4 linked regions of the Notamacropus eugenii genome follow. The protein of the gene in region 3 purifies or fractionates together with the protein of the main gene of each other region. This does not show direct contact. Links are inferred from orthologs where the notes say so. Each region holds a gene or a part of one and is shown on either strand. Other genes may lie near its edges. The genes, in order: STX6, STX16, NAPA and STX4.

Evidence for each region.
Region 1: the proteins of NAPA (region 3) and STX6 purify together in Homo sapiens (affinity purification with mass spectrometry; 3 studies listed by BioGRID and IntAct, counting the BioPlex papers as one, with this or other methods). This does not show direct contact. The link is inferred for Notamacropus eugenii from reciprocal best matches to the Homo sapiens genes NAPA and STX6.
Region 2: the proteins of NAPA (region 3) and STX16 purify together in Homo sapiens (affinity purification with mass spectrometry; 4 studies listed by BioGRID and IntAct, with this or other methods). This does not show direct contact. The link is inferred for Notamacropus eugenii from reciprocal best matches to the Homo sapiens genes NAPA and STX16.
Region 4: the proteins of NAPA (region 3) and STX4 purify together in Homo sapiens (affinity purification with mass spectrometry; 4 studies listed by BioGRID and IntAct, with this or other methods). This does not show direct contact. The link is inferred for Notamacropus eugenii from reciprocal best matches to the Homo sapiens genes NAPA and STX4.

The regions. Positions count from the first base shown.
Region 1 is NC_092873.1:464,543,886-464,550,957, reverse strand, and holds the start of STX6 (syntaxin-6), read right to left. Parts: upstream 3,004-7,072; 5' UTR 2,695-3,003; coding exon 2,660-2,694; intron 1-2,659. UniProt on the Homo sapiens protein: SNARE promoting movement of transport vesicles to target membranes. Targets endosomes to the trans-Golgi network, and may therefore function in retrograde trafficking.
Region 2 is NC_092872.1:506,554,760-506,562,423, forward strand, and holds the start of STX16 (syntaxin-16), read right to left. Parts: upstream 3,017-7,664; 5' UTR 2,884-3,016; coding exon 2,746-2,883; intron 1-2,745. UniProt on the Homo sapiens protein: SNARE involved in vesicular transport from the late endosomes to the trans-Golgi network.
Region 3 is NC_092876.1:29,450,713-29,458,413, forward strand, and holds the start of NAPA (alpha-soluble NSF attachment protein), read right to left. Parts: upstream 3,009-7,701; 5' UTR 2,788-3,008; coding exon 2,690-2,787; intron 1-2,689. Other genes in the region: uncharacterized protein, read left to right, coding at 3,263-3,997; ZNF541 (zinc finger protein 541), read right to left, coding at 6,313-6,484, 6,572-6,753, 6,973-7,113. UniProt on the Homo sapiens protein: Required for vesicular transport between the endoplasmic reticulum and the Golgi apparatus. Together with GNA12 promotes CDH5 localization to plasma membrane.
Region 4 is NC_092874.1:377,695,283-377,703,183, forward strand, and holds the start of STX4 (syntaxin-4), read right to left. Parts: upstream 3,015-7,901; 5' UTR 2,779-3,014; intron 1-2,778. UniProt on the Homo sapiens protein: Plasma membrane t-SNARE that mediates docking of transport vesicles. Necessary for the translocation of SLC2A4 from intracellular vesicles to the plasma membrane.

The sequences.
Region 1 (7,072 bases), on a different chromosome or scaffold from region 3:
CATCAAAGCAATACAATAATTACAGGATTTTGTCAAGAGAGTGAGTGAAAAGGATTGTTGTTATGCCTAGCTCAGGGCACAACTTAGCTCTGAAAAACAGAGCTGTCTCCTAATATCTTGACATTATTGTGTGTGTACGTTGTACATCTGATTTCTTCAAACTGACTCAGATCCTAGACAGCAGAAAATACACTTTAGTTTCTTTTTTAATCCCACTCAAAACCCATCACATTAGCCCAATGATTAGAAGAAGGTTCATCAAACTACCATCAAATAAGCAAATGTACAAAACTAAGCAATAACAAAATCCACTCCCTTCATCTTTCCATGGCACAAAAGGTATTACTAAATGCCTTCCTACTGAACAACCTTAACATCAAAGGGGGAAATAATGAACAAAGCAACAAAAAGAACAGCTCAACATTCCATGGTTGGAATTTTAAACTTCTGTCACTGTACCTATATTGGAAGGCTAAACACAATGAAAAGATGGCACAGCACTTGGTAGCGCTTTGAAATTTCATACAATTATCACGTACTTCTCCAAGTCTATAACTGCCATTTCTACTCGACTCAAGCATCAATGAGGAGAAACAAAGGATTTAAAATAACCAATTCCTAAATACCAGAAAACTTTATTATAGCTCACACTTTCTTAACTTAGAAAACTAAATATCATATATATATATATATATATATATATATACACGTGTGTGTGTGTGTGTGTGTGTGTGTGTGTGTGTGGAGAGGGGGAGAGAGAGGGAGAGAGGGAGAGAGAGAGAGAGAGAGAGAGAGAGAGAGAGAGAGAGAGAGAGAGAGAGGAGGGGAGAGAGGGAGAGACAGAGAGAGCTTGAGAGAAAAGAGCAGTGTTTTACAACGTATAAAGCACCGTTTCTTAAACAATCCAATAGTAAATGAAGAACCGGAGAAAGCAACAGTTTAGCTCAGCAGGTTTTTCCACCTTTATGACACAAAATTAACTATAGGGAAAAGAACTTTCAAGGGCACTATTCAGAAGAAGGATGAACTTTTTACACTGTATTTTCCCCCAAGAATCACAATACAATGATTAAATGTGCTTGACACTTGAGAGTAAAAATATTAGCATTCGCAAAAAAGACAACCTCTCTGTAGGCTTTGCCCTCTATAGTAATGAAGTTCATGACAACTAAGAAAGCAAAATAGCATAAAAAGTTAGCTATGTGTTTTGCACCCTTCAATCTTTCAGATATTCTTATCCAGGCAAGAGCATCCAGATCTGCAATTAAGAGGATTCAATTCAAATCCTATCAAGACCTCGGCTAAATCATTCAATCGGACCTCTGTGCTTCACTTTCTTCAACTGTAAAATACAGGGATTTTTACTTTCAAAGCATCTTGTAATACAAAATCTACAATGCTCTTCTCACCCGAAAATAGAGATTACATGCTAGAACTGTGATTTTTTTTCCCTCCCTGACGAATAACTTTCTACCAATGCAGGTCAGCACACAGAGTGCTAAGAGGATAAGTGACTTTTCTAAGGGGTTATAGGCTATTACATGTCAGAGGTAGGGCAATCAAGTTCTTCCTGGCCTCCTCTCTATCCACTACACTAAGATGCCTCTCCAACATATACTTCCTAATTAAGCTGTTACTGAAAAATTACAATCTTATTCTCTTTCTACCATTCGTTAAAGGCTTTAGTCAACTCAAAAAATGCTTTTTTTCGCCTTCCAACAAAACAAAACAAAAAAATCCCAACAATGGATAATCAGAGAAGACGCCAACTAATGGAAAAACAAATTTGAGACACTTAAAAGATCAATCCAGGTGATGACTTAGCAGAAAAAGCATCTGAAATAGACTGGATTAACTACAGGAGTTTTTAAGACAGCTCATTTCCTTCAAGGAGCGTGGGAAAACACCCGCTGCTACTGGAAAGCCGTGCAAAGTTTGGTTTGGCTGGTTTCGCTCGGTTTTCTTTCCAACACCATTACTGAGCATGGAAGGTTGTTTCTCTTCCATAGTATTACTCAATACACTTTAAAAAATCTCCCCCAGCATTCAGTTTGCTCCGCATTCCCTCTGCCCACGGCTCCCCACCCCCCGGCTGTCTGCCCACCCTCCCCACGCCTCCCTCCCAACAGGCTTCGACACTTCTCGGCCGTCCGTGGGCTCCCCCAGACTGAAGGCTCCGTCCTGGAGACAATGGGAGTTTACTCAAGTGGAGTCCATCTGGGGGCTGGGCCGGGGACTCCACAGGTGGAGGAAATCACTCCCCCGGCGCAGGTCCGTCCATTCTCCGTGGTCAGTGGTCAGAGAGGCGGCCCCCAGCCCCGGAGCTTCAGTGAATGGCCCCGAGCCCCCCTCGCGGCCCGCGGCTGACACAGGCCTCTCCTTTGACGCATGCAATGGCTCTCACTCCGGGACGTGGGTAACCCACGCATGACCGTCCTCCCCTCTCCGAACACGCAGTGCACCCCCACCCCGTCACCGTCCGGGGCTGACAGATCGGCCAGACCCCGGTCTCAGGGGGCTCCAGGCCGCAGGGGTGCTCGACCCTGAGGAAAGGTCCCCGGGGCTGCTCCGGAACAGGCCGGCGCGCTCCGTGCGTCCGTGCCCGAGTGGGAGCGCGCGCGGCGGGGCCGGGCTTCCTTCCCCAGACCGCCTTACTCACCCTTTCACCACAAAGAAGGGGTCCTCCATGGACATGGCGTCCCGGCGGCCGCCCCGCCGCAGCCCGTCCGCACGCACCGGGCTCCTCCTCCCCGCGCTTCCGCCGCTCCCTGAGGTTCACGGGGCTTGAAAAGTCGGCGGGCCAGCGAGGGGAACGCGCGCGGTGCCGCCGGCGCGACAGTCTCGCAGGAGCGGCCTGCCGCTAGCAGCAACGCAAAGGAGGCGGCCGCAGGCTCCAGACTCGATCACCGTCCGCCTCCCCGCCCGGACCCTCCCGGGCCGGCTCCCCCCCAAGCCTCCGCCCCTAGTGGCCCCGCCCCCTCGGCCCCGACCAATCACAAGCACACTTACTGAAGCACCACTTCCGCACTCCGCTCTCACGTGACATGGCCAGGGCCCGCCCCCTCCTCCAGTAGAAGCTGTGGGTTTTCGGTCACGTGACGAGAGTTGGGGCCGCCAGGAGCCTCGGGAGTTGGAGGCGGGGCTGCTTTCCCGTGTCACGTGGCCGGGGAGGCTCATTTCTAGAGGAGGGACGGGTCTCCAATGATACTCTTTTCATACCTCCCCGGGGGGGAGGGACCTTTTTCACCCGGTTTACGAAGTGGTTTGAGTTTCCCGCTCTACGTTTTCTGTTGCTAGACCGTGCCTCCCTTCTTTTTACTTCCATCTTGACAATCGAAAGATTGTTCCTTTATTTTCGTCACATCTGACCCTTGGGGCCCCTTTGGGGTTTTCTTGGCCAAGATCCTGGAGCGGTTCGCCTTTGCCTTCTCCGGCCCGTTGGACAGACGAGGAAACTGAGGCCCACAGCGTGAAGCGAGGCGCCGGGGGTCACCAGCTGGGAAGTGCCCGGGGAGGGCCGAGCCTGTCCGGGGCTTCACCCCCCAGAGGCCTGCATGGTTCCTGTGCTCTAGTCTGGCCAAGTTTCTTTTCTTTACGGTGTTGTGCTCCTATAAGCTGGTTCTTCTAGACTCAGAAATGAAGGGGATCCACTAATCTGGATTCACTGAGGACCACGACTGCCGTAGTGCATAATGTAATGTCCACGCTTTGTTGTATTTTCGCTTATTTTGTTACGCACTTCCCAATTACACTGTAATATTATTTAGGGAGGGCTGTTGGAGACCTGTCATCCGGACAATCAACAAACAATACATTAAACCCTCATTTATAGCTTGCCTATTTCCTTTCCGGCCTCAGGAGCTGACTCCAACACATCTCTGCCCTGCCAGGCCCTCCAGGAGCTTATGTTCACATAGTAGAAGACATCGTTAGAAAGGAGGAGGAGGAAAACAGAATAAAGTATCTGTTCAGCAGCCTTGTAGAGAAAGGATAACTGGGCATCCTCTGGCCATCCAATTTACCTTCCTTTGGAGAGGAGAAGGAAGGGGAGGGGAGACAAGTACCAGAAGTTACAGCCTGGCTTGAGCATCCTCCTAAAAATGTAAGTTCTACAAATAGCTAGCAAAGCTAGTGGCCTGAGGGATAAGAAGTACTTCCGTAAAGTCCAGGGGTGAAATGAGATTTCTGAGGCATTTGCACAGAAAGCCAGGAAGAAACCAGGAGTGCAGTCATTCCCCTAGTTGATGGGCATCCCCTTAGTTAAAAAGTGGTGCTATTGATATTTCTGTATATGTGCCTGTCCTTTCTGTTTCCCTTTGAAATATTGCCCTAGTCATGGTACCACTGGATCAAAGGGTAGGTATAATCTAGTGACTTTTGGGACACAGTTCCTAACTGCTTTCCAGGACATCTGGATCAATTTCAGAATGCCACTAACTAGGGCATTAGATGCCTATCTTCCTACATTCCCTCCAATAACTGCCATTTCCCTTTTTTAAAAAAAATTTGCCACCCTTTCCAATCAAATGAATGTAAAATAGAAGTTTAGAAGGGTTTTTTAATCAGTATTTTTTATTATTAGTAATTTCAATTATTTTTTCATGTAATCAGTGATAGCTTGAAATCCTTCCTTTGAGAACTGCCCTTTGGTACCCTTTGTCCATTTATCTACTGGAGAATGAGAAATTCTGATATATTAGTTCTCTATATATCTTGGATTAGTAAATTTTTTTTCAGAAAAACTTGCTGTAAATATTTCTTCCTAGTTAACTGTTTCCCTTCTGATTTCAGCTAAATTAATTTTTGTTTACACAAAAGTTTTAAAATTTTATTTAATTGGGGGGCAGAGCCAAGATGGCAGAGTAGAAGGACAGAACTGTAAAAGCTGTCCCCCATAGCCCATAAAATACCTGTAAAAAATGACTCTAAACAAATTCAAGAGCAGCAGAAGCCACAAAATGACAGAGTGAAAGAGATTTCCAGCCCAAGACAGCCTGGAAGACAGACAGGAAAGGTCTACCACACTGGGCATGGAGCACAGCCCAGCCTCGGCCATGGAGCAGCAGGGACAGGACTAGAACAGTCTTCAGGGGGTGGAATCCCTGGCAGCAGCTGCTGTTCCCAGATTGTTCAACCCACAAACACTAAAGACAGCTTCAAAGGTCAGTGAGAAAACTCTTTCACCTGGGTGAGAGGGGAATGGGGGGGGGGTGTCTGGCCTCACTGGCAGCAGCAACTGCAGTGGCAGCAACTATTTTTGGAGCCCTTGGCCTAAAGCCCCTGGGGGAATTGAGCAGCTGATCTGGATCTCAGTCCTGAGTGGCTCTCCTGGGCTGAGGAAGAGTGCTGGCGTGGTGGAGCTGGAGGCAGTTGTGGAGAAGGAATTGTACTCCCAGATTCTGGGCAGAACAGAGTGCTTGTGGTTGCTCACAGATAAGAGCACAGGCTAGGAGAGGAGGAACTTCCACTTTGGAGGAACTGAGAACTTACAGGTCCCCAGAGTATACCCTCCTCTTGACAACAGTCTCAAAAGTCAAGTAATTGACTGGGAAAATGCCCCCCAAAATAAGACTATAGAAAGCTACTTTCTGGATGAAGAGGTATTTTCTTCCATCCTTTCAGATGAGGAAGAACAATGCATACCATCAGAGGACCTAAAAGTCAAGGTTCCTGCATTCACAACCTCCAAAATAAATATGCAGTGGTCTTAGGCCATGGAAGAACTCAAAAAGGATTTTGAAAATCAAATAAGAGAGGTGGAGGAAAAATTGGGAAGAGAAATGAGAGTGATGCAAGAAAATCATGAAAAGCGAGTCAATAGCTTGCCAAAGGAGACTCAAAAAAATGCTGAAGAAAATTACACCTATCTCAATTGGCAAAAGAGGTCCAAAAAGCCAATGAGGAGAAGAATGCTTTAATTTCATTTAATCAAAATTATCTAGTTTATCTACTGTGGTTCTCTCTATCCCTGGTTTGGTCAAGAGCTCCTTCACATCTATAATTTTGAAAGGTATCTCTAACACTGCTCCTCTAATTTGCTTATGGTGTGACTTTTTTTATTTCAACCATGTATTTATTTAGAGCTTACTAGGGTACATAGTGTAAGATAATATTCCAACAGTAATTTTAGAGACAAAGTCCACCAACTGTGGGAAACCTTTGGCCTTGAGGTCCCATGAGGTCCTCTAGGTCCTCAAGTATGACCCTTTAACTGAATCCAAGTTTCATAGACCAAATCCCCTTAATAAAAGAATTTGTTCTGTAAAACTTTGACTCAATCAAAAGGTCCTAGAGGTTATAAGGTTAAGGAACTTTGAAGATCTTCCCTGCCCTTTAATAGGTCCATATGACTGGCATTGAACTTTGACCCAGTCACAGCTTGAGTCACATGGAGTCTATGGTGGGAGGATCTTGCTTAATGGGTGGATTGGGAAAAGTCAGTGAGGTGTAGCTGAGAGAGAGGCAGTAGGCAGAGCAGAGCAGAGCAGCTAGCTTGGGTGAGAAAGGGGCATTTGTCTACAGGAGTTTGTTTGTGGGGAGGCCCAACAGAGGAAAGATTTGGTGATGGCTGTCCTTCCTCTATTGGTAAAGTGTACAAATTTCCTTGTTACTATGGTGGAAATGACATTCTGGTATCTGAACAAATATTTTGGTTTCCTCTTTGAGAAAGAGAGTTTATATTTTGTGAATTTACCCTGGAAATAAGCCTGCATATCTCTATATAGTGGTTGCTGTGGGTATGGCATTGATGATACAGAGGCCTACATAGGGCCTCGAGGTGTTCCCCACCCCTGGTCTAGACCTAATTTCTGCCAGATTGCTTTCCAGTTTTCCTGGGAGTTTTATCAAATAATGAGCCCTTGCCCTTTTATTTGTGTCTTTGGGTTTAGCAAACTGTCTTCATTTCTTTTTGTATCTTGTGTGAGATCTGATACTGCTAGGCCTCCTTCTCTCTCCCTGCCTTTTTTTCCATTATTTTCCTTGAGATTCTTGGTTCTTTGTTTATTCAGATGAAAATCATTAGTTTTCTAGTAAATATTTTGGTAGTTTGACCAATATAACACTGCAGATG
Region 2 (7,664 bases), on a different chromosome or scaffold from region 3:
ATGTTTAAGATTTTCTGCTGGTCAGGAAAATTCTTCTTTCTATTTGTAACCAAACCAATAATCATAACTTCATTTTTCAATCAACACGTCTCCTTGTTCTGGAGTAGCCACTTACTGTGTTTGATCTTGAAACAAAGGAATGTAACAAACCAAGGTGCAAATCTTAACCCAGCAGATGGTAATGCTTTTTGATTATCATAAATCCTGAGTTAAAGAGATATTAGTATCAAAGAACTTTAGACTTCTAAAGGCTTTAGAGATAATTTAATCTAATCCCTTACTTCACAGACAAGGAAAGTGAAACTCAGAGAGATGATTTCCCCAGGATCACACTGTTAAATTAGTAGCAGAGGAAAGGGCTTAGGCTTCCTGACTCCTAAACAATTGTGCTCCTTCTATTCTACCATATCCTACCATGCCTCCTCTCTAGTTTGATTTCGAACTTTTGAAAAAAAATTGAGAGAAAATTGAGAATTTTGTACATACTACTATTTTCAAAGCTATTTTATTTTTCAGGGCTTTGTGCCTTGATCAGCAGTACTACTATCACATACTTTTTGAAAAGTCTGGTTTCCTGCTGGGAAATGGCTGTACTTGCAAAGTATAAACAGCCTTATTTCACTACTACTCCATTATGAAAGGCACAATAACTTTTAAACAATTTGTTCTGTAAGGTATAAACAGAAATTGGTAATTGATATATTGTTCTTCTGTTTCCTAAGTTGCACCAGTCTAACTTTCCCCATTTAGGGCTTGAATAATTCCATGTCTATATTATCAAACATCTTTAGCCTTTTTCAAGATTGTATTTTAAAAATAATTTATAAGATTTGTTTTCTGAGAACCTCTATACAGTAGTTTTATTCCCCAGCATACATAACCCATTATGTGGAAGATTCCTCCACAGAAGCAGATTGCAAATAAATTTATGATCTATTAATTCCTAAAGTTTGAAGTAATTAAAGGTTAAGTAACTTGCCTAGGGTCATAAAGCTAATAATCGCCAGAACCCAGTAGACTAATAAGCTCAACAGGATATTAAGTATAGCATGCTTCTAAGATCTGGGCTTGGAATCAGGAAGACTCATTTTCAAAAGTTCAAGTCCAGCCCCCCACACTAGCTGTGGACCTGGTCAAGTCACTTAACTGTTTGCCTCAGTTTCTTCATCTGTAAAATGAGCCAGAGAAGGGAATGGCAAACTACTCCAGAATCTTTGACAGGAAAACTTCAAACGGGGTCACTACAAGTTAGATCCAACCTAACTCAACAATACCTCTAAGGATCATAGCTTTTCAGATTCCTAACCAAGTGTGTATATGCAAATATAGCAGGTCACGCATGTTTTGGTACTTGGGCCTATTTCATCTCAAATCTAACATCTCATAAAACAAAACCATACTTTTTCAGCTCAAAAAATACAGACTATACGTATGAATCGATAAAGAAGGGACCGAGTATATCCTTAGAGAGTCACTTTGTGAATATCCCACATATGAAATAAATTTTCAGAAGAAATTGGTGGTAATCATAGCAAAATTCAAGGGGTCTCTGAAGGAGAGCAAGTTTCTAGTAAGTCTCTAAAGTGGCATTTCTAAGTCTATGGGTTTAAATGACAGTTCCTAAGTATTTGTCTCTGTAAGAGCTGAGTCATGTCTTCTAATAATATAACCACCAATACCATTTTTAATTTAATGTAATTTTAAATTTTAATTTAAACACCATTTCTACTAATAAATCTAAACTCAAGCTAGGATTCATTTTTGAAAAGTGTGGTGCCACAGGCAATTTACTGGACTGCTGGGCTAATAGGCCTAAAAAAAAAAAGTGCCAGTATTAATTTAATTCCCACACAGACACCGTGTGAAAGGCAGTCATAATGAAAGGACTCATTTCCTGAATGGAAAATGAAAACAGGGAAGTCCACCCCTTCCCAACCTTACAGTTTCACAAAACTGTCTTCTTCAGGAAATAGGGAAACAAATTATTAAAAGCATAAAGCAAGAAGAGACTCGACTGCCACACAGGAATGGAAAATCCTCACTGGATAAAATGAGGCTAAAACGACTCCATTCCACAGAGTCATTTTGAAGAGAATATCTGTTGGACAAAAAGGGGAGGCATCGGAATGAAAAGACAGGGGAGGAGGGGGTGAGGGTAAACATGAAGCCACGAAAGCCTGAGACAGCGCTTCATGAAGCATCCAACACAGGGCTTCAGAACCGAGCAGGACCCGGCGGGAGGAACTCGTCCGAGTCCGCAGCGAGGGCGGCTCTGTGAAAGTTGGAAGGGAAAGCCCAAGGAATGGGGGGACAGGGGGACAGGAGGGAGAGACGGCAGGGGGGGGAGAATTCAAAACAAAACCTAGCACTACAGTCTGATGCCTCCTAACAACCACAAGACAACGACATTTCAAGAGAGACACAGAGAGAAAGGCATTGACAGAGACGCGTAGACACACAGAAAGGCAGAGAGACAGACAGAGGGACAGAGAGACAGAGAGAGTGAGAGAGAGAGAGACAGAGAGACAGAGGGACAGAGAGAGAGAGACAGAGAGAGAGAGAGAGAGAGAGAGAGAGAGAGAGAGAGAGAGAGAGAGAGAGAGAGAGAGAGAGAGAGACAGAGACAGAGAGACAGAGAGAGAGACAGAGAGAGACAGAGAGAGAGAGACAGAGAGAGGGACGGCGCGCACGCCGGAGCGCGGGGCACCGCGAGGAGCAGGTGGAGGAGGCCGGCAGGAGACTCACCGCAGCAACGCTACGTGAATGCAGAGGGCTGGAGGTGGAGGAGGTGTAACTACTCACTTGCTCGGCTAACAGCTGCCGGTTTTGGATGGAATTGTTCCGCAACAACAAGAAAGCGTCGGTTAAACGCCGGGTGGCCATGCTTAACCCTGCACGCCTCCCCGTGGGGGACCCCCACTCAGAGCCTCGGCCTGAACCTCAGAATTCCTCGGACCCTGCGGGGGCCGCCTCCCCTCAAGCTTCCCCACTTTGCCCTCAAGGGGCAGGGGCAGAGTGGGAAGGGGGGAGTAAAGGGGGAGGTCCCCCGCCCACTCCTTCCCCAAATCCTAGCTTGGATTTCTAACGGTCTAATTCCCACCCGACCCCGGGTGTCTTGCCGAGCCCCCGCCCTTCTTGGGGTTGTCCTGGGTCCCCCTCAGGGAGCCCCGGCCGGGCCTGGCCCCTCCAGATCGTTCGGAGCCCGTCCACGGGCCTGTCAGAGCCCAGCCGGGCTCCCGGCCCCGACGTCCCGGGTCTTCGTCCTCCTCCCTCCAGGGGCTCGAGGCAGGAGAGCCTCACGCCCGGCGCCTCGTCCCCCCTCCGGCTACAGGGCCTCCCGGGGGGGAAGCAGCGCAATCCTCAGCCTCATCATTCCTGTACTCCGCCGCTGCCGCCGCCGCCGCCTCCGGCTCCATCCATCCCCGGATCTGACTACAGCAGCCCGGCCACTTCCGCGTCGGCGTTCCATCGGCTCAAGAGTCCCCCTTCCCGCTTCCGGTCCGTCCTCCTTAAGTGGCCCCTGCCGCTGCTGCCCGGGCTCCTCACGTTCCGGGCGCTCTTCCCTCAGCTCCGCCCTGCTCCCTTGGCCCGGCCCCCAGCCCGGCTTGGTAGCTGCGCTCAGAGCTTTCTCGGTGAGGCCGTATCCTCAAATGCTGCTCTAGTTCCGCTTTGTCCTACCTTTCTCTTCCTGAAAGGAGAATAGGGTTCAGAGCTGGACTCTTCCTTAGAGACCAGCCCCTTCATTTGATGAGTGAGGAAATGAAGCCCATGAACGTGAAGCGGATTTCCCAAATCTCAGAGGTTTGGGAAAGGGCAGACTGGTGACTCCATCCCAGCCCCCACGGGCCGGTGCTCTTTATTAGCCTCTCATTCTGGGGTTAACGACCACCAAAGGGGTGGGAAGATCAGGTGGGCAGATTTCTCCTTAACTCAAGGCGACTTCCCGATGTGTATGGAAGAGCCTACTAGTACAAAACTCTTCTAAGCGCTGGGGACCCAAAACGAAGCGAACACCAGTCCGTGGCCCAAAGGGTGGACTAGACACCGGACCTGTCATTTCATTGGAATGGGAAGTACACCGGTTAAGGGAAGTTCTACCGATGCAAATTAGTCCCTTCTCAACCACTTATGGTTGATCCCTGAGTGGTTAAGTGACTTTCCCAGGTCACACAGACAATGTACTTTGGAGGTGGAATTCGAACCCAGGTCTTCCCGAGCAGATCTCTTCTCCATTGCCTGGCAAGCTCACTAGGTCACAGAATAATCGAATTCTTCAGTCACAAAATACCAGAGTTGGAAAGTAGCTCGGACCCGAAGTGACTGAAGAATTCGATTATTCTGCGACCTAGTCCAACAGGACCCAAAGGGAGTCTTCACTACAGCTAAAGCTGACCCCCGTTGAAACTGGCTGCTTCTGAAAGTGGAAAGCTTCCCAGAACTGAATAGAGGTGTTCGAACAATGGTTACATGGCACTTGTCGGGAATTATCAAGAGTTTTTATTCCACGGGATTGGACTAAGGGATTTCTAAGGTTCCTAAGATTCTGTGAAACACTTGATATATGGTAGCTTAGAGAGCTGTCTTGGCTTGTGTTTTTGGTGTCGGTCCAAACACACATGGCATGGAGGGAGCCATGAGAAATGGAAATCCTGGGGGGGTCCAAGACATCATCTAGTCCTGCAGATTGGCCATTTCTGGATGTGGCCAGGGACACACACACTTCCATTTCCAAAATTCCCTATCCTCCAGGATAATAAATATAGTTCTTAGCCTTTCTGTATCATGAACCCATTTGGTTTTCTGGGGAAGCTTATGGACTCTTCAAAATAATGTTGTTAAATGCATAAATAAATACATAAACTCATAAAGGAATTCAATATATTGAAATATGGCATCTATCTATCTATGTATCTATCATCTATCTATGTATCTTTTAAATTAATGGATCCCTGATTAAAGATCTATGCCCTAGGGGAAACAAATAAGGGACAGTACCCCTGCCCTCAAGGACTTTTAGAACTGATAGAACGGATGGGAATCTTAGAGCTCACCTATTCCAACCCCCTGACTTTACAGAGAAAGAATCTTAAGTTTCATAAAGGTGAGAAAATCTGCCTACCTATAGGCATTACCTCCTGTAGAGATAACATGTTTCTACCATAGACATTATGTCTATGGTATTAGCCCAGACTAACATTGGATTCAGTATAGTTTCTTTTAGGATTGAAGTAAGGGTCATAGTACCCTAAGGTATCATGTGCTTGGAAAAGGAGGGCAGTAAGGGGTAGGAAAGAGAATTTCAATTCCGTGTGGTTACATAATGCTGCCTCTCCCCCTCTTCGCCTCCGCCTCCTTCTCCTTCTCCTTCCTCTCCTCTTCCTCTTTCTCTATTTCTTACCTTCTCTCCTTCCCTGCAAAGATGGTTCTTTGAAAGGACTGACATCAATTGAGCAGTGTGAACCAGTCCTTAAACTGGTTTCATCAAATGACTTACAGAAATTCCCCAGCCCCAAACCCAGTAAAGCACAGGCAGATTAGCATTCTCCATGTTTTCACACCTCTGCTTTCCTCCCACTTTATCTGATCCCTGACTCCCATCCGCTAAGGTGCTAGCTCAAGATTGGAATCCTCCTCCTCCTCCTCCTCCTCCTCCTCCTCCTCCTCCTCCTCCTCCTCCTCCTCCTCCTCCTCCTCCTCCTCCTCCTCCTCCTCCTTAGTCCCACCTCTCTGTGTCTCATACTATCTGTAGGTGGCACTGCAGGGTTATACAATGAGAGACTTCCCCAATACTTTTTCCTTCTTTTATCTAGAATGAAGCTCTTTTGGTCTCCACCCGATATTAGAGACTCCAGTTTTCACACACAAACTAGAAGCATAAAGCTCCTTGCCACCAACTGTGGTCTCTATTAATCTCAAATAAAGTTTCCACCTGAGGGAGTTGGATATAATAGTGACAAGCCATGGTCTGTGTACTTTTTAAATTTGGGGTTGGGAGGGCAAGGAGAAGACAAATGGACTGGTTTGTGGGAGGTTTTCCAAGAGTCCCCCTTTCTAATAGGTTAGGATAGTGCCATCAGAGAAAAACAGAATTTGGAAATCAAATCCATAGAATGAGTTAGGAAATGAAACGCACACAGATAAATTCACAGATGAATCCATCAAAAGTATTTCAGGTGATTAACTGTCCAAATGCAGACAGCTGGGCAGGAAAAATGAAAAATTAGCTGCTAACAGGTTTGTTTCTGAAGCCATACCAATGATTTTTGCCTCAGTGCCCCCAGGCATCACCAACAGAGAATAGGTATTTATTTGAAACAACCTTCAACCCCTTTCTCTCCTTTTCCTTTTCCACCCTTTTCCATAAGCCCTACTGTATACCTGAATGCTTCATGCCCAACTGGACAAGCTATTTGTAGCTAGACTGTTGGAATTCTAGCTGCTCTATGATGTTTTCTTATACTAATCAGAAAGGATATAACTTTCCCTATTTCTACCCTAAAATTAAAAACAAAAAAAATCAGAGTTCACAAGGTCCACAGAGGTGATCCTGCATAAAAGACACTTGAACTGGAAGACCTTCTGACTATTTTCATTGGCTATTCCAGAATTGGAATTCTTTACCTCCTCTTCTCTGTCTCCTGGCTTCCCTGGTTTCCTTTGAATCTCAGCTAAAGTCTCACGTTCTAGAGGAAGCTTTTCCCAATTCCTGGTAATGCTAGTGCTCTGTTGATTATAGCTAATCAGATGGCTATGGTAGCTCAAGAATTGTTTTGATTTGCATTTCCACTATTATTAGTGATTTCAAAGCATTGTTTTTATGTAGTTGATAGCTTGAGTTGCTTTTGAAAACTGCTTTATCATATCTGACCATCTAGGAAAGAATGGCTCTTGTTTTACATATATATGTATATATATATATATCTCCTGCATCTTTTCGCAAATTAACTGTTTCCCTTCTAATTCCAAATGCTTGATTTTGTTTAAGTAAAACCTTTTCTATTTTATTAATCAATATTGTCCATTTTTATCTGTTCTCTTTGTACCTTGTTTGATAAATCCCCATCATCCTATTTCTTTTATCTTTTCTTCAGATTTCTTTATGATATATTTTTATATTTACACTAACTGTTTATTGTGGTATATGCTGTGAGATGTTTGTGTAGCTGGCTTTTTCAAAGAATTTGAGAGAGAAAGAAAGGAGGAATAAGAGCAGTAGCTTTGGGGATAGCAGTCAGGGTTCAAAGGATACGTTTGTAGGCAGCGGGGAAGGAACCAGTACACTGGGGTTGGGTTTGAAGTTTGTGATGAGAGAGGGAATGATAATGGGGGCACTTTGCTGGAGATGACAGGAGGGAATGAGATCAGGGGTATTCATAGAGGGCCTTTGTGAGAAGGGCTGTCTCTTTATCAGAGACTGGCATAAAGGAGTAAATAGTAGAAGAGGATATCTAAGGAGGAGAGAGCAGGAGCCCTTATTGAACAGACTTACTTTCCTCAAAAAAATATGAGGTGAGGTTCTCACCTAAGAGGATGAGAGGAGAGGTTGTCATGTTGCCCTCACTTATTTGTTTGTTTTCTGCACGTTGCAATGTTTACATGTTCCTGATTAAGTGGATTTATGTATGATATTATCAAGTTTTAACTATATTAACCCTCGCAAAATG
Region 3 (7,701 bases):
CAATCTAGAGAAAACAGCCTCCATAACTAGAAATGTTCCAAAGGGCTGCCTCAAAAAAGCAGGACTTTCCATTATGTGATGACTCCATGTGGGGGATGCTGTGGAAGGGATTCCTTTTCAAGATGTTCCCTTCCCAAATCAGACTCTTGAGCCACACAGATTAGAAAGAGCTCTGAACGATGCTCTGCTTCTTGGCTCCTTGACCTAACATCCAATGTGCCCACAAGCCAGCCCTGCACCTAGGCTAGTCTCATTCTTACTTCTGTTCACCCCTTTTCTGACCATTTGCAGGGCCTTATCCCTCTCTGCCCAAGCAACACCCACCTACAAACTTCTGAGGCTCAAGCCAAGCTTCCATTTCTCTAGGATGCTCCTTCTAACCATCACAATCATCCCAAAATGGAATGGGATGCCTTGTAAATCAACATTCAGCTTGCTTCTCTCGATTCTTCCAGTGCTGAGTCACAAAATCACAACTTGCAGCTAGAATAGTTAGCTTATGGGTCATCTAGTCCAAAACCATGGCCAAGTGCAGGCCAAGTTTCTGAGAGAGGTTCTAGAATCCAGGCCACTTGTTAGATTTCACAGTACATTGCCCCTCATATGGGCAGTATTGTCTATGATCTGAAATCCTCATGATCAGCTGGTGTCTCCCTCCCCCCAGTACAGGCTGGCACAAGCAGGGCTGACCACAGGACTGGTATTCAGGCAGGACCTATCAAACTGAGACCTCAAATCACATTTCAGGCTACAAGGCCTCAACACTCCAAGCAAAAGGTAAACGAAATCCTCCAAGGAACTGTCTCACCGTGACCCTCCCCTTAAGTTAAACTTTAACTTTTTCTCTTGGGAATAAGTGGGAAAACAAATCCCTGTCCAATGCAGGGAGTTGGGAATTCCAGACACGTAACTGTCAACACTCACTTCCCCACTCCCCAGCTTCTCTCCACTTCCAGTTCTCGGCTCTCACTGTTTCCCATGTCCAAGTATCTGAATATTCTCCTCCCCACTTTTTCTTCCAGATCTAGTGCCCCCATTCCAGGGTCTTCCAATACTGCAGGCCTTCTTAATACAGCTTTCTATACTTTCTAGCCCCTCTTCCTCAGTTTTTCTTCCAAGTCTTTTTTCTTTGTGCCCGCCAGCAAGCTGTTCCCCAAGGCCACATGTGGCCTTCTCGGTCCTTGGGTATGGCTTTTTGACCTTCTCCAAGTTTTACAGAACAAATCCTTTTAATAAGGGGATTTATTCTATAAAGTTTGGATTGAGCCAAGGGGCTGCACTTGAGGACTCGGAGGTCACATGTGGCCTCGAGGCCACAGTTCTCCATCCCTGCTTTAGACCATATTCCTTACCTCTTTCAAATCAAGGCAACCAAAGTTTATTATGAACAATTGTTCTGGAAGTTCCCTGAACTACAAAGATTAAAAGCGACACATTTCTTGCTTTCAAGGAATTCACGAGGGAGAAAAGAGAAGTGGAAAGAAATTAAAGGCACAAACAATCAAGTTATTTCCCTTCTCAATTCTCCATGCCCACCACACACACCCTCCCCCTCTCTCCCTACTCTCCATCCCTCCACTTCCTTAGTTTTTAGTTGCCTGGTACCCCAATATCCCCTCCTCACATTCTTCAGTCCTACGTTCCCCTCCTTAAACTCTCCAAGGCATCAAATATTTACTGCCCGCAGGATCCTCTCATTTTACAGGTGAGGAAACTGAGGCCCACAGAAGTCACAGGGCCTGCCTACAGTCACACAGCTAGTAAATGGGAGAGCCTGGATGGGAACAGAGACCATCAGGCTCCAAACCCTTTCCCCCCCAGCAGCAGCTGTCTGGCTTCATCCCCGGGGCTGACCCTTTTCCACTAGCCAAAGACTCCCTTCCCCGGGGCCCTCATCACCCTCCCAGGGCCCCTCCTCACACACCCCACTCCCAGTCCCAGGCCGGGTCCCCTCATTCCCCGCCCCCCAGTCCCAGGCCGGGTCCCCTCATTCCCCAACCCCCCCAGTCTCAGGCCGGGTCCCCTCATTCCCCAACCCCCCAAGTCCCAGGCCGGGTCCCCTCATTCCCCAACCCCCCCAGTCCCAGGCCGGGTCCCCTCATTCCCCAACCCCCCCAGTCTCAGGCCGGGTCCCCTCATTCCCCGCCCCCCAGTCCCAGGCCGGGTCCCCTCATTCCCCAACCCCCCCAGTCTCAGGCCGGGTCCCCTCATTCCCCAACCCCCCAAGTCCCAGGCCGGGTCCCCTCATTCCCCAACCCCCCCAGTCCCAGGCCGGGTCCCCTCATTCCCCAACCCCCCCAGTCTCAGGCCGGGTCCCCTCATTCCCCGCCCCCCAGTCCCAGGCCGGGTCCCCTCATTCCCCAACCCCCCCAGTCCCAGGCCGGGTCCCCTCATTCCCCGCCCCCCAGTCCCAGGCCGGGTCCCCTCATTCCCCGCCCCCCAGTCCCAGGCCGGGTCCCCTCATTCCCCGCCCCCCAGTCCCAGGCCGGGTCCCCTCATTCCCCAACCCCCCCAGTCCCAGGCCGGGTCCCCTCATTCCCCAACCCCCCCAGTCTCAGGCCGGGTCCCCTCATTCCCCGCCCCCCAGTCCCAGGCCGGGTCCCCTCATTCCCCAACCCCCCCAGTCCCAGGCCGGGTCCCCTCATTCCCCGCCCCCTCCCTGGCCCGCCCCCCGGCCGGCCGCTCTCACCCGAAGAGGCCGGAGAAGAAGGACTGCGAGTTCTTGACCTTGCGCTCGGCCTCGGCCAGCAGAGCCAGCGCCTCTGCCTCCTTGCCGGAGTTGTCCATGGCGGGGAAGCGGCCGGAGTCTCGGGGGGCACAGGGGCAGGGCAGAGCCGGGAAACCACAACAGAGGAGGGCTAAGACGACCGACGACGACGGAGGACGGCGGCAGACGCGAGGCACGTGATCCGCATTGGCCAATCACCGACCCCTCGAGCCGGTGGGCCCCGCCCCAACGCACACCCCCTTTCTCCACCTCCAGCCTCGTAGAGCCGCGTGACTCCTGTGCGCCAATCCCTGCCCGCCGTCCTCTCGCCAGACCTGCCTCCCGTCGGTCTTGCAGCACGTGACTCAAGATACCTAGCATCAGGTGACAACTTCCTAACTTTCACCCCTCCCATCCCGATGCCTCGCCTCCCGCCCGCCCCCCTTGCCCCGGATGTTGTGGTTACCCGAAGAAAAGGGGTAGGAAGGATTTTCCACCCATTGCGCGTGCGCTAGGGGAGGGTAAGCGTGCGTCTTTGATAGGCGCTGTCATGGCATGTCGAGGTGGGCCGAGGAAACAATGAAATGCGCCTGCGCGGCCGCTGGAACACCACGCAAAGGCGCATGCTCAGGCTGCTGGGCCTGTTTACTGGGTCTTCTCCCTCTGTTGACCAAACCAGGGAATGAAGGTGAAAGACCCAGGTCCCAGGGGGCCACAGGGCGCATGCGGAGAGCCGAGCAGCTGCTTTCTGAGTGCGCCGTCGCCAAGGGCAGAAAGCGACTGCGGAGGACTGGCCCCACGTGGCCCTCTCTGCGCTGGCCGGAGTGTCCCAGGGCACGAAGGCGGGGCTCTCCGGCCGAGCTCCCCACTCCGCTCCGGCGTCACCAGGAAGAAGGGGAGCCCGGCCCCCTCCCGGCCCGCCCCAGGCACGGGGCTCCTGCCCTCCTGGGAACCTGGGCTCCGGAGACGGACCGAGGGACTGCTCCCTCACGTGACGGATCAGGAGACAGAAAGAGCCAGCGACCGCCTCCTCCCGCCTCGGCCCAGGCTGACCTCCTCCTCCGACACTGCCCGGCGCCTCCAGGGAGGCTCTGTGCCCACTGCCTGTCCCAGGCGTCCTCTGCTCAGCGGCTGCCCCGGGCTGCTGAAGGGAGGTGGAGGAAATCCCGCAGCTCCTCTGACGCGAGCTGGGCCCTCGGTGGGTGCTGCCGGCCCGCCCCCCCTCCATCCCTGATGTCTCGGCCCGCCCCAAGCTCGAGAGCCTTACCTCCTCCTCTCCGGGAAGGCTGAAGCTACGGTGAGTTCCCTCTTCCTCACCGGCATCACGCAGGTCCTCCTGCCCCCTCCTCCATCACTGCCCTCCCCACGAGGCTGATCCCATTTCATCCCTTCCTCTCTAGGGGATGATTCCCTGCGCCCACAAACATGCCATCCTGGGGCCCCACTTTGTCCTCTTAGAGCCCGACAGCGCGGCCTCAGACTTGATCATGCCAACACCGCGCTGTCCAAGTTACTGATGATCTCCGATCCAGTGGCCTTTCCTCAGTCCTCATTCTCCTTGACCTCTGCAGCCCTTGGCCCTGCAGAGCACTCTCCTCCTGTCCCTCCCTTTCTTGATCCCTCTTTCTCCTTTGCTGGATCCTCCTTCACATCGTGCCCTCTGACCCCCGCGTTCCTGCCTGGGCTGTCTTCCCTTCTCCCCTTGTGCTACTTCACCTGGTGACCTCATTCCCTCCCATGGATTTAATTACCATCTCTATACTGATAACTTGGGGGGGCACAATGGCTAGAGCACCGCAATCGCAATCGGGAGGACCTGAGTTCATTCAAATCTGGCCTCAGATACTTTCTAGCTGTGTGACCCTGGGCAAGTGACTTGACCCTGTTTATCTGTGGCCATGGGAAAGGAAATAGCAAACTACTCTGGTATCTCTGCCAAGGGTTCAACAAAGAGTTGGACACAATGGACAGCAGCGTTGATAACTCTCAAGTCTCCTGTTCCTGCCCCAGCCTCTCTTGATCTCCAGGCGCCTTTCAGACAGCTCAAACTGGATGTCCAGTAGACTCATACCAGACGTGTCTCAAAGTAAAATCACAAACTTCACCTCCAGTGCTGGCAAGCCCCTCACCCCCAGTCCCTCAGGTTCACACAGCCCAGGACCCATCCTGTACTCATTAGCTCTCCCCTCCCCCCCATTCCGAGCTGTCATATACCCCCTTCTCTCTTCCAGCACTGCCCCTAGCCTGGTACAGGCTCCAGTCACCCCACACCTGGACTACCACAACAGCTGCCTGGGTGGAGGTCCATCCAGGTCTGATCACACCCCACCTCCCCCCAATAAACTCCAGTGGCAAATAGAAAATGCTGCCTGGCCCCCTCCTACCTCCCCACCCTTCTCATGCCACACATCCCATCCAGTGAGCTGTCCCACAAAACCCCCCCATCTCCTGGCACTGAGCACTCTGGTCACTCCCAGGGCCTGGAACACCTTCCCTGCCACCTTTATGGGAAGGCTTCACCAACCTCTCTTCATACTAGTGCCTTCGGTTAATTATTTTCTGTTCTGCAGGAAACATTCATTCCTGTATCTAGCTTGCTTTGGATACATTTGCTTATCTCCCCTATTATACTGTGAGCTCCTTGAAGGCAGGGACTGTTTTTGCCTCTTTTTGTGTGCTAGATGCTTGGCATGCAGTACCTGACACGTAGTAGGTACTTAATAAATGTTCCCAGATTGATTGATGAACCGATCCCTGGTGCCTGTTCTTTGTCCCCTCCTCTTTTGCTTGGTGATTCCCCAGTTGATATCCCACCCACCCCACAATGATCTCCTTTACTTATGGGGGTAAATGTCTTAGTCCTGTTCCTTCTTAAGGCCAGGGGCTATTTCCAGTTCTATTTCCCAGAGGTATCTCCAATGCGCTACATACAGTAGGTGTTTTATAACTGCTCAACTGAACAGGATGAAAAATGGCAGGCCAGAAGACCTCTGATGCATTAAGAAGTCCCAGCAGCACACCAAGAGCCATTCAAAAACCCAATTTAATAAGCTATACAGTAGGCACGTACAAAAAAACCAAACAATGCACAAGTCACCACAGGACCTTGGACTCAACGCAGAAGGATCCTCCTTGCGTGAGGGAGGCCCTGACATGTCATCGCTATGAAGGTATTTTCCCACTGATTCTCTGAAATCGTGGCCTTTTCCAACAAAAATAACAAACCCCAAAACTTAGGCAAAGATTTAAGAGCTACTCGGATCCAACTTTTTGTCTTTTTTCTCTCCCCCAGAGAGATATGATTGGAAAAAGGGGAGAGGTCACCCAACTGAATGGTATAGGGCCTGGACATCCACACCACACAGCCTTAACAATCATGCAATGACTGTTTCCTGCCCCGTTCCTAATTATGACCCAACATAGGATGTGGCTGCCCCATCAGACACCCGAGCTATTTAACGGGACCCCAAAGAGAAATTGTGGTCACATTGGGGCATGCTCCCCATTGGGCCAAGCTCCCAGCAGCTCCTCCAGGCCTGGTCACCGGCTCTTTCCAAGTCGGAGGCCCCGGCCAGGTAGGCCCCCCCAGGATCCTGGCCTTCCCATTACCACCGGAGGGGGCCCCCCTCCGCCCCAGCTTCCTCCTCATCTTCCTCATCTCGTGGCTCGCTCCTAAAGGGCTTCACGGGCCATTTCATTCTGACCAGAGGCTCCACGTGCTCCTGCAGGCGATGGCGCTTCATGTGGGCATTTCGACTCTTAATCTTATCAAACACCCTGAAGAGAGAGTGGTGAGAATGGCATGTCCAAGGGCCTCAGAGGACCAAGTGATGCTGAGCAAGCAGGGCTCTGGAGGGCAAATACCTCTCACATTCTCGGCACGGAAACACGCCCTGGCTCTCAGCACTCCCAGGCGGCTCAGGTGTCCTCTTAGGGCCAGCGGTTGGGCTGGAGGAGACACTGGCCTCTCTCTTGTAACTCTTAGCTTTGATCTTCAGCTCTGGGTTTGGCCGGTGACTGAGCCGGTCTCGAGGGCTGCAGGTCACCTGAGGAGAGGAGATGCTTAGGATCCCACCACTCTGGGGAGTTCAGACGCCAGAGACACAAGACCCCTACCAGAGGAAGTCCTAATGACTGAGGGTTGCAAGAGTGAGGAAAAGTCAGGACGTGGTTTCCTATATGGGCCCTTCCCTTCAGGACCCCCACCCAGAGATAGAGGGGACCCTGGGAACCCCAACCCCTCAGGTTTCCCAGCATCTTTCTACCTTTTCCTCTGTCCTTTCTACCTCATCCTGCTCTCTCTTGACCCTCTTTTCTAGCCCTGGGGCTCGGCCGCAGTCAAACTTGATCATTTTTTTCCAGATATAATAATATTCAACACACTGGGCCACATTCTTTGTCTGAATCTAGTAAAAGAAAATGGAAACGGGTCACAGAACATGCTCACATGGCCTCATGACAGCCTTGACTTTGCCAACCAAACTCTAGACTCCTGCCCTACTAAGCTGCAAATCCACCCGCTTTTCCATGGCCTGAGAGAAAGAACACTGGATTTGCAGCCACAAGCTTTACTGTCGAGTCTGTCTGACTCTCCATGACCCCTGGCAGAGATACCGTTTTCTTATCCAGCTCATTTTACAGATGAAGAAACTGAGGCAAAGAGGGTGAAGTGCTTCGCTCAGGATCACACAGCTGGTGTCTAAGGCCTGATCTGAACTGATTCTAGGTTCAGTGCTCTGTGCACCATGGCTCCTCTAGTGGCCCTGCAGCCCAAAGACTGGGGTTCAAATCCTAGCTCTGAGCCTTCCTCCTGGGGCAACATTGAGTGAGTCACGTGACTGCTGAGCACTTCTGAGAGGTGTTTGGCATTTCTGGGCTCCTCTTACTCCCAGGAAATGATTTCCTATTTATCATAAACAGAGCTTGCTTGTTCTCTTCCACTAGCAGACTGTGAGCCCCTCAGGGACTGTCTTCTGCCCCTTTTTGTGTGCCCA
Region 4 (7,901 bases), on a different chromosome or scaffold from region 3:
TCCTTTTAGAAAAGCAGATCTCAGAACCTGTAATAGCAAGCCCCCCATGTATGTCAAGGTGCTTTCTGCTACATCAACCCATCTCTCCAGGATCATGTCCTTATCACTGATTAGTGTGGCTCCATCAACACTGAGTAGCTGAGATGCATCAAAGATCTTTGATCCATAAATAGCCTTAAGGGCATTGTAGAAGTGCTTTAAATTGTTACTATTAAAATAAAACTGAATCACTTCTGTCTTCTCACTGATCCAAGAATCCTGCATCTCTCTAAGCTTCTTTTGCACTTTGCTCTTGATGAAATTTTAAAACTGCCTTCCTAGAACTGGGAGAACTGTCCTGTTGTTAAACATTGTGGAATTCTCATTTTTTATATAGTAGTTTCTGAATTTCCCCATGATTTTCATCAAACCAATCCTGATGTTTGCAAGTGTTTTGACCCAAAGGAGCAAATGTGATGCTGTTCACCAAAACTCTGAAAGTTGCCCACTCATTTTCTGCTCCATTGTTGCCAACCATGGATAGGGATGAAGACTAAACCCATGATTGCATTGCTGTGGGAAATTCCCTGATGAGGAAACCCCCTCTACCAATTCCAGTAGGCACCTTTAATGTAGTACAGAGTTGACTAGACTACTGGGAGATTAAGTAATTTGCCCAGAGTCATAAAACCAGTATGTGTCACAGGTAAGATTTAAACCCAAGTCCTCCTGGTTGGAAAGACCAGCTCCCTATCCACAAGACCCTGCTATCTCTCTCACACATGTGCACAGATTTAGAGCTAGAAGGAACTCAAAGATCACCTATGCTAACCTTCTTATTTTTCAGTTGAGAAAAAAAATTTTCAAATGGCTTTTTTCAAAGTCACATAGTTAGGAAGTAACTAAACCAGAATTCAAACCCATGTCTTTTGATTGCAGGTATCAACACACATACTAAAAAGAAGGTATATGTGTATTAACCAGACATATACCCATATAAATACATGTATATGTGTGTATCTTATAAATATGTGTATGTATGTATATGCCAGGCAGTGCTTAGGCCAGATGACATTTAGGAAATTGCATAGTCCTGTGAGTATATCCTAAGTGCTCACTGCTTCGAAAGATGATCTCTTTAATACCAATATTCTTGGGGTGGTGCCTTGTGTTTGTGAACCATGGAACACCACAATTTCAGAATCAATATTACAGATGACTTAAAGGGAAAAGGGAAGTGAACTGTAGTATGTTACCAAGAACAATATATGTTATAAAAGACACCAGGGGATGACAACTAAATGCACCCTATCATATCTGCCATCTGTCCCAATGTTTACTCTCATTTTCCTGTTATTAAAATGGAAGCAATAGTAGGACATACCTAGCAGTGAGTCTTCACAGAACTATTTCAAAACATCTGTTGTAATAAAGGTTGATTAGGGGAACCCACAATTATTATTATTAACAGCAACAATAATAGAGAATACTCAGTGTTAATGGAGAAAACCAAGCTGATTTAAACTACTATACATTTATATTACGTAACCTCAACTGGGCATTCACTGCTATTCAGCTTTACCTCTACTGACTCACACAATGTCAATATAAAATCATGTCTTCCCTCCAGATCTCAGTTCCGCCTTCCCCACTTAGCATATGACTGCTAAAGGAGTTGAATCATATCAGTCTTAAAATTCTTGGTATAAAGGAAACAAGAAACAAGAGGAAGTTACATCTAAATGGAAGATAAATCCCAGTACACCTTGAAGAGGCAAAGAAAGGAGTTGCTCTTATAGTATAGCCAATGGTAGCAACATTGTTATTGTTCAGTCATATCTGACTCTTTGTGACCCCACTTGGGGTTTTCTTGTAAAAGATACTGGAATGATTTGACATTTCCTTCTCCAGCTCATTCATAGATGTGGAAACTGAGGCAAATAGGATTAAGTGGCACCTAGTTAAGTATCTAAGGTTAGGTTTGAACCCAGGAAGATGATTATTTCTTCTTTCTAACTTCAGGCTCAACCATCCAGCTGCACCCCCATCCCATCTAAGAAATGCTGTTTCATGGGATATTTGGTCATCTGGTATTACAGTACTGATAAGTGTTTGTAAAAAGACCACCATGAAAATAATTGTAGCTTTTGGACCAATATTGATTGTTGAGGATGAAGAGGTAGGTAGAGAAATTCTATAAAAACATTGATAAGGTCCTCCAAAGTAAAGCAGCATATATTTTGATGCTTAATAACTTCAATAAAAGTGAAAAAAGTGAAGATAAAATGTAAATGAGAAAGCAGATTTTAAGAAAAAGGGATGAGAGAAGTCAAAGACTTGTAAATTTCACAGAACCCTCATGCCTTTATCTCACAAACATTTTCTTCAAGAAAAGACATAGTAAGGTTCTACACATGGTGAGCAACAAATAACATTGCAAAAAATGAAATAGATTTTATGCTAATGGACAGAAAAATGCATTAGTGGTGTAAAATTATCTTGGATCAGTTATTTGTGTACAATCAGATATGTTAAGCAAAGGTCAAAATTATTAAAAAGTAAAGAGAACAATAATGAAAAAGTATGAGTTCCTATTTAAACAACTCAATCCTAGATTATTTAAACAAATAATCAGCAATGAAAATTGGGAAATGGGGATCCAAAATGACATTGATACCAATGAAAATTTCTTTTATACAGAAGACTAATGACTGTGGCTATTTTCACAATAAAAAGACCCAAAGGAGCTTAATTTAGTAAACAATGTTTAATGCTTCATTTAGTAAACATTTTACTTACTTGCCAAGTTGAGAGAGATGGGGGCCAAAGGCAACTTCTTCATTTGCCAAAGGCAAATTAGACTACAAATTTTTTCAAAAGGGGGCAGATCCAAGATGACAGAGTAGAAGGACAGACCTGTAGAAGCTCTCCCCGCATAGCCCATAAAATACCTGTAAAAAATGACCCTAAGCAAATTCTAGAGAAGCAGAAACCACAAAACAACAGAGTGAAAGAGATTTCCAGCCCAAGACAGCCTGGAATGCTAACAGGAAAGATCTATTGCACCAGCTCGGAGTAGAGCACAGCCCAGTCTGGGTCACAAGGCAAGGACAAAACTAGAGCAGGCTCCAGGGTGCAGAATCATGTGTAGCAGCTGCAGTTCCCAGATTTCTCAACTCACAAACGTCAAAGATAGCTTCAAAAGTCAATGAGAAAGCTCTTTCCCCTGTGTGAGAGGGGAGCATGGTCTGGCCCCAGCACTAGCCCCTAGATGGCAGCAGCCACTGTGCAGCAGTGTCCACTTTTGGAGCCCTCAGCCTAAAGACCCTGGGGACACTGAGCTGCTGATCTGAGTCTCAGTTCTGAGTGGCAGTCCTGGGGTGAGGAGGAGCACTGACATGGTGGAGCTGGTGGAGGCTCTGGAGAGGGAATCCTACTCACAGATCCTGGGCAGAAAAGAGTGCTTGTAGTTGCTCACAGACCAGAGAACAGGTTAGGAGAGGAGTAAACTCCTCTTCCTTGATTGTACCATCTTGGAGGCCCTGAGAACTTACAGGTCCCTAGAGTATAACCTCCATTTGACAAAGGACTCAAAAGTCAAGTAACTGGCTGGGAAAATGCCCCAAAGGGAAAAATAATACTATAGAAGGTTACTTTCTTGCTGTAAAGGTATTTTCTTCCTTCCTTTCAGATGAGGAAGAACAAAGCATACCATCCGAGGAAGACCTAAAAGTCAAGGCTTCCAAAACCTCCAAAAAAATATGCAGTGGTCTCAGGCCGTGGAAGAACTAAAAAAGGATTTTGAAAATCAAGTAAGAGAGGTGGAGGAAAAATTGGGAAGAGAAATGAGAGCGATGCAAAAAAGTCATGAAAAGCAAGTCAACAGCTTGCTAAAGGCAACCCAAAAAATGCTGAAGAAATTAACACCTTTAAAAATAGACTAACCCAAATGGCAAAAGAGACCCAAAAAGCCAATGAGGAGAAGAATTGCAGAACTGATTTATTAATTAAATTAATAAAATAATAAATAAAAAATAATAAAAAAATAAATTAAATTAATTAAAAAGCAGAATTGATCAAATGGAAAAGAATGTCCAAATGATTACTGAAGAAAATAATTCCTTCAAAATTAGAATGGAGCAAATGGAAGCTAATGACTTTATGAGAAATCAAGAAATTATAAAACAAAAATAAAAGAATGAAAAAATAGAAGACAATCTGAAATATCTCATTGGAAAAACAATTGACCTGGAAAACAGATCCAGGAGAGATAATTTTAAAATTATTGATTTACCTGAAAACCATGATCAAAAAAAGAGCCTACACATCATCTTTCAAGAAATTACCAAGGAAAACTGTCCTGATATTCTAGAACCACAGGGTGAAATAGAAATGGAAAGAATCCACAGATAACCTCCTGAAAGAGACCTGAAAAGGAAAATTCTTAGGAATATTGTAGCCAAATCCAGAGTTCCCAGGTCAAGGAGAAAATATTACAAGCAGCCAGAAAGAAACAATTCAAGTAATGTGGAAATACAATCAGGATAACACAGGATTTAGCAGCTTCTACACTAAGGATCAAAGGACTTGGGATATGATATTCCAGAGGTCAAAGGAGATAGGATTAAAACCAAGAATCACCTACCCAGCAAAATGGAGTATAATAAATACTTCAGGGGGAAAAATGGAAATTCAATGAAATAGAGGACTTCCAAGCATTCCTGTTAAAAAGACCAGAGCTGAATAAAAAATTTGACTTTCAAATACAAGAATCAAGAGAAGCATGAAAAGTTAAACAGGAAAGAAAAGCCATAAGGAACTCATTAAAGTGGAACTGTTTACATTCCTACATGGAAAGATATTATTTGTAAATCATGAGACCTTTTTAAGTATTAGGGTAGTTAGAGGGAATATACATACATACATACATATATATATATATATATATATATATATATATATATATATATATATATATATATATATATATATATATGTAAGTGGGTATGGGTATGTATGTGTATATTATATATGTGTAGGTATGTATATGTATATGGGTATATGTGTGTATGTGTGTGTATATATACACACACACACACAGAGGGCATAGGGTGAGTTGAATATGAAGGGAGAATACCTAAAAAAATAAAATTTACTGTTGAATAGAATGTACTAGGAGTAAGACAAAGGGAGAGGTAGAATGTAGCAAATCATCTCACATAAAAGGGGGAAGAAAGAGCTTTTACAATGGAAGGGAAGAGGGGGACGATGAAAGGAAATAATTGAGCCTTACTCTCTTGGGATTTGGCTTAAGGAGGGAATAACACACTCAATTGGATATGCAAATCGATTTTACCCTGCAGGAAGGCAAGGAGGAAGGGGATAGGAGAGGGAATATAATAGAAGGGACAGCAAATTGGGGAAAGGGATAATCAAAAGCAAATACTGTTGTGGGAGGACAGGTCAAGGGAGAGAATGGAATAAATGTAGGGCAGGATAGGACAGAGGGAAATGTCTTTTACAACATAACTATTATGAAAGTGCTTTGCATTGTTACACATGTATGACCTATATTGAATTGCTTGTTTTCTCAATGATGGTGGGTAGGTGGGGAGGGAGAGAATATAGCACTCAAAGCTTTAAGAATGAAGGTTAAAAATTGTTTTAGCATGCAACTGGAAATTAAGCTATACAGGCAATGGAGTATAGAAATCTATTTTGCCCTACAGGAAAATAGAGGGGAAGAGGGATGGAAGAAGGGTGGGTAGTAGAAGGGAGGACAGACTGGAGGAAGGGGTGAATGGGGTTCATGCTGTCCTGGGGTAGGGGATGGGGAGAGATGGGGAGAAAATTTTGAACTCAAATTCTTGTGGAAGTGAATGTTAAGAACTGAAAAATAAATAAATTATATAAGGAAAAAAAAAACCTTGGGTGGGAGCTGAAATATGAGCTGAACTTTGAGGGAAGGTGGGGATTCTAAGAGGTAAATAAGGTAAGGAAAGGGTCAATTCCAGACCAGGGAACAGATAGTTTGTACAAAGACTGAAGATATAAGTTTTATATATGAGGAAAAGAAAATGGGACACATTGACTGGATGGTAGAATGTGTGAATGGGAGTACTATTTGCTTGGAAAGTTATGTCAGATCAAGTTTGTGAAGGATTTTCAATGCCAATAAATGGAGGTTGGATTTGGTGGTCCATAGTCTTCTTAAATTTCTGAATCTAGTGTCCTTTCTAGGTTTAGAGGCAGTTTATGTGTCTTTTTTTTCTGGTGTTAGTCAGTCAGCAGGCATTTATTGGGTGCTTAATATTTGCTAGACATTGTTAAGAGCTGGAGATACATGGAAAGCAGAAGAAAAAACACACAACATGGTCTCTATCTTTAAGAAGGCCGCATTTTACTGGGGGGAGAAAACATGTAAATAGTTATGTACATAACAGATTTTTACATTGTAGATGGGAGGTAATCTTGAAATGAAAGGCACTGGCAGTAAGTCAATAAACATGTATTAAGCACCTAAAAAAAGAATTTTTTTCAAAAATTTTACAAAGGATGGTGGACAATTATTAGCAATCTAGCCTTAAAGCAGGGAGAAGTAGTAGAAGGTACAGCTAGTTTAATGAAACTTTTGCAAGAAATCCAGCTCCACAAGGTCATCCAAAAGGTATTTGGAGACTAAAATGAAAGGACAACAAATAGAAGAAAAATACAAATAATCTTTAAAGAATACTATGGCAAACTTTTCACCAGTAAGGGAACCTTAATAGTCCACACTTGGACCCTAACATATTCCAGGATACGCTCATAGGGGAGTTAGACATGCCATTAATAAATACAAAGATAGGAAAAGCAACCTGAGTGGATGGAGTAAGTATATGCAGAGGAGATTTATGCTAAAGAACATGCAGTTGTGGGAGAGCTAGAGTCAATGTGTAAGGTTCTGAGTCAGGAGAACATACCAAAGACATGTTTAAAAGAATCAAATAAGAGGACATCAACAGCTATCTATCTATCTATCTATCTATCTATCTATCTATCTATCTATCTATCTATCTATCTATCTATCTGTCTGTCTTTCTATCTATCTATCTACCTACTTTTCTACCTATACATAATCTTTATTCAATTCACATATATAGAATTCAAGAGAATCCTCAATTTTGTGGGGAACAAGCAGAGTTTCAGAAGTGATATTTCAAAAAGAACATCGTTCCAAAATTGTTTGAAAAATATAAAGAATAGAAGATCTTACTATGTTCTTTGTTGATTATTCAAAGTATTTGAATCAATGGGGCAAAATGCCACCTTAAAGGCTCTTTTCTGATGAGATGCCTCTCTATCTACATTAAATCACTGAAGATTTCTGATAAGATGTAAAAGTAGAAATCATAATCATCATAAAACAGGAAAGACTCTCTTCCCCTTATATATTTGTCACTGTACCGGTGCAGAAAATAAATGGGGATTCTCTGTGGATGGTGAGGTCCTATAGATATTGTTGCTTGGGGATGACATTGTATTGTCATCCTCATAAATAAATGGTGCACTGAAAAGACTGTTGGAAAAGATTTGTAACTGTTCAAAGAGTTTGGCCTGACCATCCAAAAAGACCATTATGAATGTCTCTCAGATTATGACATATGTTTACATGGAAAGTCTATAGAGCTTCTCTATTAGTCTATATAACTGGTATAAACAATATAAATGGATAACAAATTGAAGTAGGAGTTGAACAGAACAGGGAGAATGGGATGAATTGTTTTCAGAAAATTATGGAACTCCTTGAATGATCCCAAGTTTTCTATGGACATAAAGGACTATCTTTTAAATGCCAACTTTCTACTGGTGTTCCTGTATGACAAGATATGAAATAGAACAGTCTCTGAAGAATTGAAATAGATTTGCAAGTTAATCTAACA